Linked DNA regions of Nothobranchius furzeri. The protein of the gene in region 1 interacts with the protein of each later gene in a biochemical or structural test. Links are inferred from orthologs where the notes say so. Each region holds a gene or a part of one and is shown in the gene's direction. Other genes may lie near its edges.

The links.
Region 2: the proteins of ubr5 (region 1) and polyadenylate-binding protein-interacting protein 2 form a complex in vitro, tested with the Homo sapiens proteins (2 studies listed by BioGRID and IntAct, with this or other methods). The link is inferred for Nothobranchius furzeri from reciprocal best matches to the Homo sapiens genes UBR5 and PAIP2.
Region 3: the proteins of ubr5 (region 1) and otud5a form a complex in vitro, tested with the Homo sapiens proteins (2 studies listed by BioGRID, with this or other methods). The link is inferred for Nothobranchius furzeri from reciprocal best matches to the Homo sapiens genes UBR5 and OTUD5.
Region 4: the proteins of ubr5 (region 1) and pck1 form a complex in vitro, tested with the Homo sapiens proteins (2 studies listed by BioGRID, with this or other methods). The link is inferred for Nothobranchius furzeri from reciprocal best matches to the Homo sapiens genes UBR5 and PCK1.

What each region holds. Positions count from the first base shown.
Region 1 is NC_091745.1:50,575,297-50,578,796, reverse strand, and holds part of ubr5 (E3 ubiquitin-protein ligase UBR5), read left to right. Parts: intron 1-204; coding exon 205-462; intron 463-558; coding exon 559-827; intron 828-1,699; coding exon 1,700-1,911; intron 1,912-2,046; coding exon 2,047-2,280; intron 2,281-2,374; coding exon 2,375-2,448; intron 2,449-2,529; coding exon 2,530-2,702; intron 2,703-2,815; coding exon 2,816-2,965; intron 2,966-3,165; coding exon 3,166-3,383; intron 3,384-3,500. UniProt on the Homo sapiens protein: E3 ubiquitin-protein ligase involved in different protein quality control pathways in the cytoplasm and nucleus. Mainly acts as a ubiquitin chain elongator that extends pre-ubiquitinated substrates.
Region 2 is NC_091741.1:64,864,160-64,868,332, reverse strand, and holds the start of polyadenylate-binding protein-interacting protein 2, read left to right. Parts: upstream 1-1,373; 5' UTR 1,374-1,499; intron 1,500-1,678; 5' UTR 1,679-1,703; coding exon 1,704-1,850; intron 1,851-4,173. UniProt on the Homo sapiens protein: Acts as a repressor in the regulation of translation initiation of poly(A)-containing mRNAs. Its inhibitory activity on translation is mediated via its action on PABPC1.
Region 3 is NC_091755.1:47,032,962-47,037,081, forward strand, and holds the start of otud5a (OTU domain-containing protein 5-A), read left to right. Parts: upstream 1-1,320; 5' UTR 1,321-1,545; coding exon 1,546-2,133; intron 2,134-4,120. UniProt on the Homo sapiens protein: Deubiquitinating enzyme that functions as a negative regulator of the innate immune system. Has peptidase activity towards 'Lys-48'- and 'Lys-63'-linked polyubiquitin chains. Can also cleave 'Lys-11'-linked ubiquitin chains (in vitro).
Region 4 is NC_091743.1:74,246,770-74,250,766, reverse strand, and holds the start of pck1 (phosphoenolpyruvate carboxykinase, cytosolic [GTP]), read left to right. Parts: upstream 1-1,197; 5' UTR 1,198-1,348; intron 1,349-1,460; 5' UTR 1,461-1,524; coding exon 1,525-1,748; intron 1,749-1,923; coding exon 1,924-2,108; intron 2,109-2,210; coding exon 2,211-2,414; intron 2,415-2,489; coding exon 2,490-2,677; intron 2,678-2,769; coding exon 2,770-2,932; intron 2,933-3,018; coding exon 3,019-3,243; intron 3,244-3,338; coding exon 3,339-3,470; intron 3,471-3,573; coding exon 3,574-3,669; intron 3,670-3,767; coding exon 3,768-3,997. UniProt on the Homo sapiens protein: Cytosolic phosphoenolpyruvate carboxykinase that catalyzes the reversible decarboxylation and phosphorylation of oxaloacetate (OAA) and acts as the rate-limiting enzyme in gluconeogenesis.

The sequences.
Region 1 (3,500 bases):
TTGGTCTCAACAGGGAATGGAGCTGATTTGACTTGATTTCTTACTGCTTTCTCTTAGTGCTCCGATAAGTTATTGTGTGATTCACTAACGTGCATCAATGATTCTGTACGTTTGAATAGAAAACCAAAGTGGAATTAAAGGTTAACAAAGCTATTAAAGCATTTTTGTGTTTATTGTTTTGTTTCTTCTCTTCCTGTATTGAAGGTGCCAGCAGTGTTCCTGCCTTCTTTTCAGAGGACGACTCCCAGTCCAACGACTCCAGTGACTCGGACAGCAGTAGCAGTCAGAGTGATGATGTTGACCAAGAAACGTTTCTCTTAGATGAACCTCTGGAACGTACCACTAGCGCCTCACATGCTAACACTGCAGCCCAAGCTCCTCGCTCCATGCAGTGGGCTGTTAGAAACACACCCAGCCAAAGGACAAGTGGAAGCGCTCCCTCTAGCTCTTCAGCTCCAGCTGGTCAGTCAGCACCTGTCTGCATTTAAAAGTCTACAGTCTGTAGGGCGTTGAATTACAAATGTTGTCTATAATCATTTTATTTTGCCTCTTAAACAGCAAGCTCCACCGGTTTGATCTACATCGACCCTACAAACCTGCGCCGCTCCAACGCCATCAGCTCCAGTGCAGCAGCAGCTGCGGCAGCTCTGGAAGCCAGTAACTCCAGCAGTTACCTGACGTCTGCCAGTAGCCTGGCTCGTGCCTACAGCATCGTCATCAGGCAGATATCAGACCTCATGAGTCTGATTCCCAAGTATAACCATCTAGTCTACTCACAGTATCCTGCTGCTGTAAAGCTCTCCTACCAAGATGCTGTTAGCCTGCAGGTGATTATCGTTGGATAGGTCTGTCAGAATATCACAATCATTAAAAAAAAACCTCTTTAATAATGTTAACCTCAGACTTTATGAGTTAATGCAGTGGTCAAAAAAATGTTTGTCCCCCACCCCATGAGTGCAGACACGTGCATGTGCACACACTTATTATTTTTTTATGTTTCTGTTCTTAACAAATAAAAGTAAACCGCAATAACTTGCAGGTTACAATGAAATAAATAAATTCTGGAGTTATCTGGGACCCGAGCGACAGATAAACCGCACAAATCCCATATTCCATTTTACAACTACGAGAACCTCCAGAGCTCCTCTGCTCCCCGATTGTACACTCGTCCAGGTAACCAGACTGAATGATGGCTGAGAAGAGGCTGCACTCTCGGGCATTTCCTAATAAAACTAACCATGCAGAATGCCTCCTTAAATGGAAATGCAACCCGTTACTCAGCTTTTTATTTATTCCTGACGGGAACCTCTCCTCTGTCTCAACTGCGTTTAACCTCTGCAACTTGTTTGTTTCTTTTGCACTTTGGCAGCCGTTGTCTCAGTCTCACTGTAAATAAAGTTTTTTTTTTTTTCGGGAAATACACAAGCTGTGGACCAAACATGGTTACTTAAAGGTGTTGCTGTATGTAAATGACGAGAACAGACATGAGCAACTGGGCAGCACAGGTAGGATTTATCATCAGATGAGTGCGGAGGAACGTGCGTACGAGAGCCCACCGTATGTTAAATAAATCAGGATTTTGACCGTTCGTCTGAACGTTCTAAATTTCATTTGTAGGGAGGAAGTTAGGACAGTTCCTATGAACGATAAAAAAGGGTCCATACTATGACCAGTGTGTAATGATTATCATGTCTACCAGAACTACGTGGAAGAAAAGCTGATTCCCACCTGGAATTGGATGGTGTCCATCATGGATTCTACTGAGGCTCAGCTGCGATATGGCTCGGCTTTGTCGTCAGCTGGAGACCCGGGTCACCCCAGTCACCCACTTCACGCCTCTCAGCACTCAGCTCGCAGAGATCGCATGACCGCTCGGGAGGAGGCCAGCCTCCGCACTCTGGAAGGACGCAGGTATAGTTTTTCTTCGTCTTCATTGGAACATAATGACTGACTCAGTTTATTTGTTTACAACTTGATCAAATGAAAACACAGACCAGAAGTCAACCCATGCAGTCGTTTGGTTCACAATCATCTGCTTTCCTTCAGGAGAGCAGCAACGTTGCTGACCGCCCGTCAAGGCATGATGTCAGCACGGGGCGACTTCCTGAACTATGCGCTGTCACTGATGCGCTCCCACAACGATGAGCACTCGGATGTTCTTCCTGTCCTGGATGTGTGCTCGCTAAAACACGTAGCCTACGTGTTCCAGGCTCTGATCTACTGGATTAAGGCTATGAACCAGCAAACCACCCTGGACACCCCTCAGATGGAGAGAAAGAGGTGTGTGTTTAAAAGTTGCATCACCAGACAAGTATTGGTTGCTAACTAAACGGCTCATTGCTTAAGTAGAATTATTTATTTATTTTTTCACTAGGAATAGAGAAATATTGGAACTGGGCCTGGACAACGAGGATTCTGAGCACGAAAACGATGAAGACACTAACCAAAGTACAGCAGCTTGGTTGACTACATCGGTACACAGACGCTGGTATTTTAAACTTTGTTTGAAAAGTTTTTCTTTCAACACAGGTTCAACGCTGCAAGACAAAGACGATGACCCAGTTCCAGCTGAAACGGGTCAGAACCATCCCTTCTTCCGCCGCTCGGACTCCATGACCTTCCTGGGCTGCATCCCACCCAACCCCTTTGATGTTCCTCTTGCGGAGGCCATTCCACTGGCAGACCAGCCCCATCTCCTGCAGGTCTGACATGTGGCTGTTCTGTGACATGCTTCACCAGCTACACGGGACATGTTTGTTTGTTTGGGTTTTTGCATTTATGTATTAAAAAGTCCATGTTGCCTCCTGTCTAACAGCCTAACGCCAGAAAGGAGGACCTGTTTGGGCGTCCCTCTCAGGGCTTATACTCCTCCTCCTACATGACGACCAAAGGCCTGGCTGAGACCAGCATGGACAGGAACTGCCTGGAGGTAAACATGGGCTCCTCTCTACTCTCCTCCTCTCAGGTACACCACCCACCGTCAGAGAAACAGCTGAGCTCTATGCGAAGCAATTTAAAACCAAATGCTTAAAACAACACAAGATTATCTCCTAGATGTTTGTTTTAAATGTGTTTACTGGAACCTGATAGTCATAATCCCATCATCATTATTTCAGTGTGACTGTTTTCTTCTTGCTAATAAATAACACTATCCCTGGTGGACAGATCCTGCCCACAAAGATGTCCTACACAGCCAACCTGAAAAATGTCATGAGCATGGAAACTGGCCAGCGGAGCAGTGACAACCAGTTATTGGGTGAACAGGAGATGGAGGCTTCTAAACCAGGACCTTCTCCTCATGACCTCGCTGCCCAGCTGAAGAGCAGTCTCCTCGCTGAGATTGGTCTCACTGAGAGTGACGGTCCTCCTCTTCCGTCATTCAGGTGAGGTCGCTGGTGGTTCTCTCTAAAACTGGAAGAAGACCTCTCAGCAGAACCTCATTTTTTTCCCAAATGTTATCAATCAAAATGACTTTTAAACATGAGAATGCCGTTTGTCCT
Region 2 (4,173 bases), on another chromosome or scaffold:
TACACCTCTGTTATAAAGTAGTCTTTGCAAAATGATGTTTAAAATGAAAATTTCTTCTAGCCTCCAGATCCTCAGAACTAAAAACAAACAACTACTGCAAACTCATCAACGTACTTGACTTTTTGCTTTGTACATAACTAGTAATGTGCTTGACTCAACTAAACTTTTAAGTTTCATAATACGTGATCTGATAAATAAATTATTGTGATCTCTTAGATTTACTTTGTGTATAATTCGTACAGTTCTTTTCTGTACGACAGGCTTTTTGTGTTATCAGCAAAAACAAACTGTAACAACTATGACACATTGACAATGTCATTAATATACAAACCAAAAAGTTTAGGTCCCAACAATAACCCTTGTGGGACTCCACATTAAATCTTCAATGCAATCAGATATCTTACCAGCACACTGCACACACACACATGTCTGTTATCTAAATAACTACTTAAAGAGTAAGTCACCCCCAAATCAAATTTTTGCTGATAAACCATATAAATGAGTGTCTAAACATGCTGTAGACATGCGTTGTCAATATTTTGGCACTTTAGTGCATCTTAGTTAAAATTAAATATTTTGCCTAAAACTGTCAGTGTTGCGCCATCTTCAGGCAAAAACTCTGCACTACATTTGAATTTAAATCTACCTATTGGCTAAGAGGTACACAATGACGTTAGCTGGTGCATTGTGATGTCACAATGCTGTTGTAAGCCTGTTTGTGACCCTCTCGGTCTGCCAGGCAACAGTATTTGTTGCATTTTTCAAACATGAAGTGAGATTGGAGTAAGTTTGTTGTAGGGGGTGACTTGCTCTTTAACTATTTTAAGAGTACTCCTCTCATGCCATGTGTGGGTAATTTAGAAATTAAAATAGAAAGGCCTATGGTTTTGAGTGTTTTTTAATCTATAAAACCCTCTATTGTATTCTTTGAAGTGTTAATTAGATAATAAATCTAAATTGTTTCACTAATGGGTGGCTGTTGAATGGTTTTCTTTTATTTTTACTAATTGTGTAATTACATGAAGCATACGTTTAAGCTGAATCATGAGTTGACTCCATAGACTGTACATACTCAAATTGACTACAAATTCAAATTCAAATGTTCATTCTGTACTCCTTGATATTTATTATTTTTATTAAAGTGTTCAGTTAAAAATCAAAATCTTGTAACAAAATATGTCGGCTTGAAATTACTACAGCCCTTCAGTTAATTCAACAATGAAACACTTATATAATGAAAGGGTGTGAAAAATAATTTTCATATTTTGTTAATGTGTTCTATCTAAATGTGAAGTTTCACATAAAATAGAATAATAAAGTCCGTTAATTGATTGTGAGGACCGCGAATGCGCCACAGTCCTTAAGCCAATCATGGTGGAGCTCGAAGTGACGCAGCAGATGTAAACAAACATTTGCAGTGCGGCCATTACAGAAGAGTTTTTGCTTTGACTGAACTTGAGCTATTAGACATTTTGACGTCGAATTAATCCGCTCAACAGGTATTTGAAGAGTTAAAAATAAAATAGTTTGCGTCACTACATACGTGTGCGTTTGTGTCTGTGTGTTCTGTCGCGGTTTGTGTTGTGTTTCATGCTGTGTAATTCAGCGGCCTTCACAGCCCGTCTGACCGCCGATTTCTACTCGTTTAACGGTCACCTCCCCTCTCGTCGTCCCACAGAGCCACAGAACCGAATCAAGAGGACATGAAGGACCCGAGCATCAACAACACCTCAACCTCCCCCAGCATGACAATGACCGGAGAGGTGATCCTTAGCAGCCAGTTCGGTACCGAGGAGAACCCGTTTGCGGAGTACATGTGGATGGAGAACGAAGAGGAGTTCAATCAGCAGGTGAGGAGCCTGAAAAACCAGATTCTTTACTCAAACCGTGGTCCAGGTTCAGAACCTGGCTCTATAAAAACTCGCTTATTGTACGGGACACATTCTGGAGAATTACACGAAAGCTCCCCTCAAAGTCACCCAGAACCATTAGTACTAAATGCGTGGTTCTGGTCATGGTTCTGTCAGAAGGACATGTATACTGGATCAGCGTATGGCTCTTAAGGTTCTGCCTTTCTTCATGGAAACCCAGTCAGATCTGAATCGGGTCAGCTCAGCTCTGACGTTGTGTGTTTGTTCAACAAAACATAAATTAAACAAAAAGATTTATTGTGTCTTTTAGGCACAGATGTCACGACTGATCAGAGGTCTGGAGTAAGGAAGACAGATTAAGTTCTCACAGAGGAATAGAACTCAAGATAGTAGTGTTAGATGTTAGACATTATGTTGTTTTTCTTGAGAGAAAGCTCTCGGTCATCGGGATACTTCTGGCTATAGTTGTCGAAAATATTCACTTATTTATCTTCTTATGGTTCCTGACAACGCTTTTTAAAACCACTTGGTTAAACTGGTGAAAGCAGGTCCATCAGAGCCACAAATATTCTACTGTCTCTTGTTAAAGCATAGAAAAGACCCATTTAAACATCTGCTGCGAAGAACTCTGAGCTGCTTCTAGGGATGATTACTCTGTGTGTCACAGATCCTTTGGTGTTTATTTACCTCTGATGGGGTGGGGCTGCTTGAGAGACAACTATTACAACTGGACTTCGATTGGGCTGCTGGAGTCTGCTACAGGCCCAGTCATAAGTATGACTGAAACTACTTACTAAATTATTGATAAGACTTAAGGTTTTGTTGCATTTAGGGCAAGGCAGCTTAATTTGTATTGCACATTTCATAAACAGAGGTAATTCAATGTGCTTTCCAGGTGCAAAATCAACATAACAGCATAATTAAAATACACAAATAAATTTATATAAATTAAATGCACAAATTAAATTCAGATTTAAGAATCAGATAAAAGGCTAAGTTAAAGGGGGAGCAGTTACAGTGCACAAGGTGCAGCATAAGAGACGGTCATTCAAAGGCTGATGAACGAAAGTTTTCAATTTTGATTTAAAAGTTACTAGAGTTGGGACAGCATAGTAGCTAAAAGCAGCTTCACCCTGTTTGGTTCTGACCTGGGGTACTATCAACTGACTGCTTCCTAAGGATCTCAGAGCACTGCTGGGCACACTATAAGGAAATCTAACGTGTATTTTGGCTCCATGCCATTGAGTGATTTATAAACTAGTAGAAGCACTTTGAAATTGATTCTGTAGTTTACTTGTAACTCATGCAGAGATTTAAGAACAGGAGTTCTGTTTAATTCCCTCCTGACTGCCAGTGGCAGTAAACAGTGGATGTATCTCCTCGCGCTCTGCGCAGGTCGAGTACTAATGTAAACCTAGTCGCGAGTCTATAAATTACGCGCCGATAGCTACGTTCGGGTCTCTTTGATCTTCTCGCTGTTGACCTGGCGTGCTTCGCGGGTCAGTCGCTCCATCAGTCCGTGATTCGGACCTTGTCGGTCTAGAGGTGAGTACACGTACTACTTGGTGTCAACCTTCCCGAGACCGGGTGGTCGGAGTGCTCAGGGGAGCCCTCTGGGGCGGTGGATTGACGCGGTTATCTGTCGATTGTTACAGAGAGCGGGCGGTGCGGCCGGTGTTCTGAGAAACCGTTCTACTTTGGCAAAACGTCCTACCCGTAGGCTAATTTTACGGTGTTTTACATGACACAAACCATAACCCTAACTCTAACCCAAAAAAAATCAAGTATCAACGTCAATAAAAAGTACTAATACTTACTACTTATCTATTTTCCTGCAAATATGACAATGGAGTAGCATTTCCTTTTTGTGATGTGCGCATGCGCGCGCATGCTCAGGAACAACGGGTAGGACGGTTTACGGGGTAGGAGAAATTCCCAGAACACCGGCGCCATTCGGACCGCCGCTCGGATAGGGCTCGCTGGCGGTCGCTGTTTTCCCCTGTGGAAAGGGGAGGGGTTGCGGCCGGCGAGCGCTACAGGTAATTGGGGCTGGACGTTCTGACCGTGGAGGTGTCACGCTCAGATTATCCAGCCGACACACACATTGTGTGTTGTTTAACAACTCCAAGACTGAATCGCGTTCTTCAGTTTTCTTTGAAGTCCTCGCTCAGTTTCTGTGTAGTCGCTGGCGTCTCCCACATCGGTAGGGATGTTGGCGTTTACGTCATGCGGGGCTCCCCTCCAGGTGGAGGACGGCCACGACTTGTGTCCAAAGTGTCTGGGTGTCAGTCACCTCAGAGAG
Region 3 (4,120 bases), on another chromosome or scaffold:
CTGTAGAACATCAGTTTCCTCCTTGCACTTCCACACAGAACAAGGGAGGGTCCCAGTTGCACCAAACACTGTCCCCTTCTTTATTGGAGACTTTACTGTGCTGCTCCTTGAGATTGAAATTTTCCGTAGTCTGTCCACAACTCTTTCCCTGAAATCTTTTAAATGTGGATTGCCACCCATGGTCCGTCTGATGTCAGCTCCAGCAACAGCTGGCGTTATTCACAGAGCAATACGATTGTAGTCCTTCAGAGGGGGTGATTATTTTCTCATTCAAAACTTTGACTTGAACTGCACTTTTATAGCGCCTTTCAGTGTCAGTGTATCATTCATCCGTTCACACACTGGTGGTGATGAGCTACAACATAGCCACAGCTGCCCTGGGGCACACTGACGGAGGCGAGGCTGCCAAACCCAGGTGTCACCGGTCCTTCCGACCGCCACCAGGGGGCGGGCGGGGTGGGGTTGGGGGGGGTGGGGGGTAATTTTCTTGCCCAAGGACACAACAGCAGGATTCTCTGGTGGGAGCCGGGATCGGACCTGCAACCTTCTGATTACTGGACAACCAACCCAACCTCTTGAGCTACTGCTGGCCCTACTTATCACTGAAAGAAAAATCATCACAAAGAGCAAAACAAATGACTTTTAATCAAGTGTAAATAACAGCATTCTGTTGTTGCTTAAAGAGCAAGTCACCCCCCCAAATAAACTTTTTTTTTGCTGATAAACTAAATAAACGAGTGTCTAATCGTGCTGCAGACACGTGTCGTCAATAATTTGGCACTTTAGTGCATCTTAGTTAAAATTTAAATATTCTGCCTAAAACTGGCAGTGTTGTGCCGTTGTCAGGTAAAAACTCTGCACTGTATTTCAATTTAAATCTGCCACCGCTATTGGCGAAGAGGTATGCTATGATGTAAACTGGTACATTATGATGTCACAATGCTGTCGTGAGCCTGTGTGTGTGTGTGTATTTGTTAGCAGCTCCGCCTTCTCGGTCTGCCAGGCAACAGCATTTGTTGCATTTTTCAAACATGAAGTGAGAGTGGAGTTAGACTCTGGTAGGGGTTGACTAAGCAAAAGTTTATTTGGGGGGTGAGTTGCTCTTTAAATGATTCGCAGCATCAGTTTTTATTGTTTTTTTGTTTTGTTTGTTTCGTAATTTTACACAAAAAGCTGAAAAGCGATAAGAATTAAAACAAAAATGTTTTGTAGAGTTTTATAGAATAAATGATTAATAATAAAAATAGTGATTCTGTGTGTTAAAGGTCAGGTTTACGTCATGACGCTGCCGGCCGGATGTTACGTCACAGCGCCCAGTCAGGCTGTGTTGATGTTTTGGAGAACGGGAAGAGGGAGACGCTTTTTGTTTTTGTTCAACTCCACCGTCGAATGTAAACAGAATTGTTGTTTCTTTGGTCGGTTTCGGTCCGTTAAGGGTCTTAACTCGGTGACTGGAGCCGAACCGCTCGTTCAGAAGGTGAATAGACCGACTAGTTTTATCCAGAACGGGGACTCGTCACCCTCTGACCGCCTCCCTGCTCCACCATGACGATCCTCCCCAAGAAGAAGCCCAGCTCTGGTGTCGGCGTCTCGGACCACGCCGATGACAGCGACCGTCGGAGCAGCTCCGACCCTCACCAACACCCACACCCGCACGCTGGGCGGACCGGAGCCCGACCCAGAGCCTCCCCTCCGCCGTGGTCTTACCAGACTGCTCCCCCCTCCGCCAGAGAGGACAGGCGGAGCATCGAGGCGAGCTCCCGGCCGCAGCAGGCCTCTCCGCCGCCCGTTGGCTCCGTGTCCCCGGTAGGGCCGGGAGATGGCAGAGACGGTAGCGGTGGAATGGTTACCGGCTCCCGCGGGGAGCTTGTTGTGCCTGCCGGTGTCGTTGGATGCGGCGGGTCGATAGGCGGTTGCTGCTCCGGGCCCGGGCTGAGCAAGAGGCGGCGGCAGGCAGGAACCTGCTCCGGTGGGGTGGTCGCTGCTCTGGCCGGGGGAGGCCAGCCGGGGGTGACCGGACCCGGAGGTGTAGGGTCCAGTCAGGATACGGAGGAAGGAGCAGGGAACAACAGCGAGGACGAGTACGAGAACGCCGCCCGGTTGCAGTTCATGGACCCGGCCACGGTGGAGCAGGTAGGGAGCTAACAGGCTAACGGGGATGCTAACGAGGCTAAACGGGAGGGTTCTGGAGGGTTTGAAGGCTTTTACACAACATTTAACTCCATAAAGAGACCCCACCGTGTCAGCAGTGTCGTGATTAACAAAAGTGTAATCATAAAGGAAACGCCGCTGTAGCGGTACAACACCAGTACTACACTGTTTTCACCACAACGGTCAGGTCAAAGTCTGACCCGCTTCCCAAAGGCTTCAGGTAACCATAGCAACGACTGGGATGCTGTAGTCACACAACAGGTAATAGGGGTGGGGATTTATGAGGGCTGGATGTGCAGGTGGGGGCAGCAGCAACAGTCAGTCCAGATGTGGTTTTAGTGCCTCCCAGCATCCAGATCCAGACCTGTGGTCCTGAATCTGGATCAGCACTTTTCTAGAATGTGGATTTTTTTTTACACCATCAGGTCTCTACTGACCTCGATCAGCAGGCCATTAGACGTAAGCAACATGTTTGAAACCTCAGTGTCATCTTCGATGAACACATGAATTTCGACAAACAGATCAATGCGGCGGTCAAGTCAAGTTTTTATCAACTTAGGACCTGGAAAAAGTCAGTCATGCCCTTATAAGCTCGCACATCGGTTACTGCAATGCCCTATCCAAGTCCTCCATCGCTCGTCTGCAGCTAGCCCAAAATACCGCAGCCCGTCTCCTCACTAACACACCTTGGGGCAGCCATATTACTCCCATTCGCTTAGAACTGCACTGGCTTCCTGTATTTTTCAGAACACAATTCAAATTCATAATGTTCACGAGCATCCATGGCCTCGGTCCTGCCTATCTCTCTGACTCCTTGTCCTTACGTCAGCTAACACGGTCCACTAACTCAGTCCCTCGACCTCGATACAAGCACTGGGGTGACCGCTCTTTTTCAGTCGTGACTCCAGCAGTCTGGAACAAACTCCCTGATGACCTGAGTTTGACTTTTGAGTTATCTTTGTTCAAGCGCAAGCTTAAAACCTACCTTTTCCAACAGGCTCTTCATCAGTAGCCATCCTCTTTAACTTCTGATGATAAAGACTCGCGGGTCTTATTTTGTTTCTGAACCAGGAACGGGCTTTTGGTCCTGATGCTGACAGCCTGGATGTTCCTTTTCCTCTTTGGACCAGAGCTCTTAGACCCCAGCTCTTGAAACAATACTCCAGAGTTCTGATCCAGTTGACCACATTTCTGCTGTTCTGGTCCAACCCAGAGGATTTGGTGCAGCCTCTGAATGGAGTGGTTGCTGATTAGAGATTGACAAATTGGTTTTTCTTTTGCTGATGCTGATATGTAGAGGTCCTGGTCAGCCGTATGGTAAAATGTCACTGATAACATCTAGACGTGGGCGGTGCTCACATTTTAATCCCACCTAGCTTCCTCCACATTTTACCACGGTGTGCGGTATTACTGGGACTAATTTAAAAATGATGACGTAAGCCTTCAAACTGTTGGTTTGGACCTTCACCGTTCAGAAACTCAATAACAAACACTAACAACATAACACACCTAATATTAACAACTTTAATAAAAAAACAAGCTTATAAAAAGATTTTTCACCTGTAAAACCTGCACGTTTACCTTTTTCGGCTTCAGCCCCCAACTGCTGAAAACTCGCTTGTGGCAGACGGCCGGTTACCTTTGGGCTAGTCGTGACATCTGGGGAAGGCTGGCTGCTTATTTCCACCAGAAAGGCCTGTAGTCGTGCCTTTTAATGACGGCTGCAGACAGAAATCTGCCTCTTCAGCTACGGCTCGCTGCTCTGCCGTGCCGACGGGGCGGGCGGCTTTCGCTGTCCTCTTTTGTTTGCACAAATGACCTCATAAGAGTTCACCAGAAGTTGTGGTTTTTTTAAGACTCCCGGTCAGCTGGTACGCGAGCTGCCATTTCTTCTCTCGGCGCTGTCATGTGATGACATCATGTTCATAAACTTTGTGGAACATCTCTAAAATGTCGACAAAACATTTTA
Region 4 (3,997 bases), on another chromosome or scaffold:
TACAGAAGTCTTGGGAAGCTGAAGGATTCCAGCACTGGATGAACCAAACAGGGTGAAGCTACTTTTAGCTACTGCTGCACACAGATGGAATCAGCTTCAAATGAAATGAACACTTTTATGGTTTATCAGCCTTTGAATGATCACTTCTTATGCTACACCTTCCGCACCGTAACTGCTCAGCCTTAACGAGGTCTGTTTTCTGATTCTTACATCTTATTTTGTTTGTATATTTTATTTCTAACTTTAACATCTGCTGTTTTATGTTGTCACATTGACTTTGATGTTTTATGTTCTCGCTGATCTTGCACCTGGAAGGCATGTTGAGTTGCTTCTGTGTGGGAAACGTTCCAAAGAAATAAAGCTGCCTTGCCGCCATTGGGTGATTAAATGTTAACCTAAAATAAGTTGAGATAAATAAGGAAGAACGATGGTCCATCAGCTCTGCAACTAATTAAATGTGTTTAATAGAGGAAATGTTTGTGGAATAGCACAGCAAGTAGCAGCTAACTCACCGCTAGCTGAATCGCCTGGGCTTGATTTTTCTCTTTCTGTGTTTAACTGTGGAATTATTTCTAATTTACTTGCAAAATCAGCTCCAAATGTTCCTATTTTATCTTGGTTTCCATTACTTACATGCAAGCGCGCACACATATGCACTTTTCCTGACTGAACTTTTACAACACGAGATCAAGCCCCCATCTGTCAGGCAATGCAAGAGTCCAGCCGGAGTGCTGTCGACGTCATGCTGCAGCCTCGCCACGGTGAACCCTGAACTTACATCATTTACTTATTTGTTCTAAAGTTCAGCGACTTTCGTAACAACTCAGAGGGACAGGGATGACCATTGATAGAAATTTTACTTAGCTTATATCAAACTATTTCATCTTAATTGCAACAACCGATTAAAGAAAAATGGAAATATTTCTGTGATGCAAAAATGTGCAAAAACAGTGTTGCATGTTTTGTGCTCTCACTTTGACTGTTTTTCTTGCAGCAATGTGAGTTAAACATCTCAAAGCTACAGGTTCTCACTCAGATCTAGCCCAGTTATCGGCTGATGGCAGGAGAGAACCGGTTACATAAAGACTGCGTTATGTCCGGCAGCGGATTAATGATTAGCTGAAGTCCTGCGACACACCGGGGTCATGCTCACACCTCCTGACACACTTCCCCCTCCTTCCTACTCTTCTCCCTCCTCTTTCAGGGACATCCCAGGGTATAAAAGGAGCAAACCTTCTCCAGGGAGGACACAATGGACCAAGAGTCCTCAACTTGACTGGGAACAGCCATCAGAGACACCTCAGCTGATGAGGCCAAGCTAACAGCTCTTTGCTCCAAACTACTGAAGGTAACATGAAATACTTTGTGTGTGGCAGCTCTTGTAGGAGAGGATTACGATGATGATGCTGAAATCTTCAGTTTGTCTAAAATCTTTTTTCTTTTTCCCTTCAAATTTTCAGACTTCCAGACTTCATCTCGTCTCTCTTAGTCTGTCGACTCTCTCGCTCTCCAGACTTTGTCACCATGCCTCCTCAGATCCAGTCCCAAAGCCAGAATGGTCCCAGGATCCTGCAGGGCAGCCTCAGTGCCTTGAGCCCCGCGGTCCGGGAGTTTGTGGAAGCCAACATGGTCCTGTGCCAGCCTGAGTCTGTCCACATCTGTGATGGCTCAGATCAGGAGAACCGAGCCATCCTGACCCAGCTAGAGGAACAGGGGATGATCAAGAAGCTCACCAAATACGAGAACTGGTAGGATGATTTATTTAAGTCAGTTTTGACGGATTTCACATTGGTAGCTTAGCTATAGCCATGGTCAGCACCTTTTTAGATAAAAAACAAACTCAGAAAGCAAAACTACTGACAAACCAGTAAGTCTGGCTGCTTCCGACACAAAATGTCATCTCTGACCTTTCTCCTCCTTCAGCTGGTTAGCTAGAACCGACCCAAGGGATGTGGCTCGCATTGAGAGCAGAACAGTGATTGTTACCCAGAACCAGAGGGACACAGTACCAACACCACTGGATGGAGGAGTCAGCCAACTGGGCCGTTGGATGTCTCCAGAGGAGTTTGACAAAGCCATGGGTCAACGCTTCCCCGGCTGCATGAAAGGTACCACAGAGATGCAGGTTTTGTTCTCCAGTAATGATCAAAAAGTAGAGAACATTTGTTTGTCATGATGTAAAGATCTATTTTTCCTGTCCCTGTCCTCAGGTCGCACCATGTATGTGATTCCCTTCAGCATGGGTCCAGTAGGTTCCCCCTTGTCTAAGATTGGTGTGGAGCTGACGGACTCCCCCTACGTCGTGGCCAGCATGAGGGTGATGACCCGAATGGGGAAGACAGTGCTATCCGCTCTGGGAAATGGAGAGTTTGTCCGCTGCCTGCACTCCGTTGGCTGTCCTCTACCTCTCAAAAGTACAAAATCAAAGCATCCTCACTAGAATCTCTGTAAGTTTTAGAGCATTTAAATAACTGCAGTTGTTATTTCAGAGCCCCTGGTAAACAACTGGCCCTGCAATCCTGAGCAGACACTGATTGCCCACATCCCAGACCGCAGACAGATTGTGTCGTTTGGCAGTGGTTATGGAGGAAACTCGCTGCTGGGAAAGAAGTGCTTCGCTCTCCGTATCGCCTCTCGCATCGCCAAAGAGGAAGGCTGGCTGGCTGAGCACATGCTGGTAAGAAAAGGCAACGCATTTTTATTTTATTTAACCATTTCACAGAACAATCGTCATTGTTATGGTCAAACTTAAACATTTCTGCTGCTCAGATCCTCGGTGTCACTAATCCTGCTGGGGAGAAGAAGTACATGGCGGCAGCCTTTCCCAGCGCCTGTGGGAAAACCAACCTGGCCATGCTCTGCCCAACGCTGCCTGGATGGAAGGTTGAGTGCGTAGGAGATGATATCGCTTGGATGAAGTTTGACAACCAAGGTGAGAAAAATACTTCACAGATAATGAAACATGAAAATTGCGAACAAAGAACAAAACAAACGTATTTCCCTTTTCTATTTTCTTAGGCAATTTACGTGCCATCAACCCTGAGAATGGCTTTTTTGGTGTTGCACCCGGCACATCCATCAAAACCAACCCCAATGCCATGGCGACCATTGTTAGGAACACCATCTTCACAAATGTTGCAGAGACCAGCGACGGCGGCGTGTACTGGGAGGGAATGGACCAAAAACTTCCTGAGGAAGTGACTCTCACGTCCTGGAAAAACAAGCCCTGGAATTTAGAAGATGGTGAGAACCTAGACCAGGGGACTAAAACTCAAAAATAAGCTTTTTTTAAGAAGAAAATAAGTTGATTGAATAATCTTCGCTTTCTCTGTTTGTAGGAGAACCTTGTGCTCATCCCAACTCTCGTTTCTGCACACCGGCCGGTCAGTGTCCCATTATTGATCCGCAGTGGGAATCCCCGGAGGGAGTCCCCATTGAGGCTATCATTTTTGGAGGCCGCAGACCAGAAGGTGAGAATAACCAGTCCGCATTCTTAATCACAGCTGGACTTAAATGAAATAAAGATGTAATCAATGAAACTCTGTAAATCCTGTTTTCCTTTGTTCCCTTTAGGTGTCCCTCTGGTGTATGAAGCCTTCAGCTGGCAGCATGGTGTGTTTGTTGGAGCAGCCATGAGGTCAGAGGCCACCGCAGCAGCCGAACACAAAGGTCGGTGTCTAAACAACCATCTCTTTGTTAGTGTTTGTTATTTTCTGTTGGATCTGAAACTTGAAACTGACTTCATCTTTTTGTACTTTTTTATCCAGGCAAGGTAATCATGCACGACCCCTTTGCCATGCGCCCTTTCTTTGGCTACAACTTTGGCCAGTACCTTTCCCACTGGCTGAGCATGGCCGACCGTCCTGGTGCCAAGCTCCCCAAGATTTTCCACGTCAACTGGTTCCGCAAGTCTCCGACAGCTGGCTTCCTCTGGCCCGGTTTTGGGGACAATATCCGCGTCCTGGACTGGATGTTCAGACGAGTGAACGGTGAGACC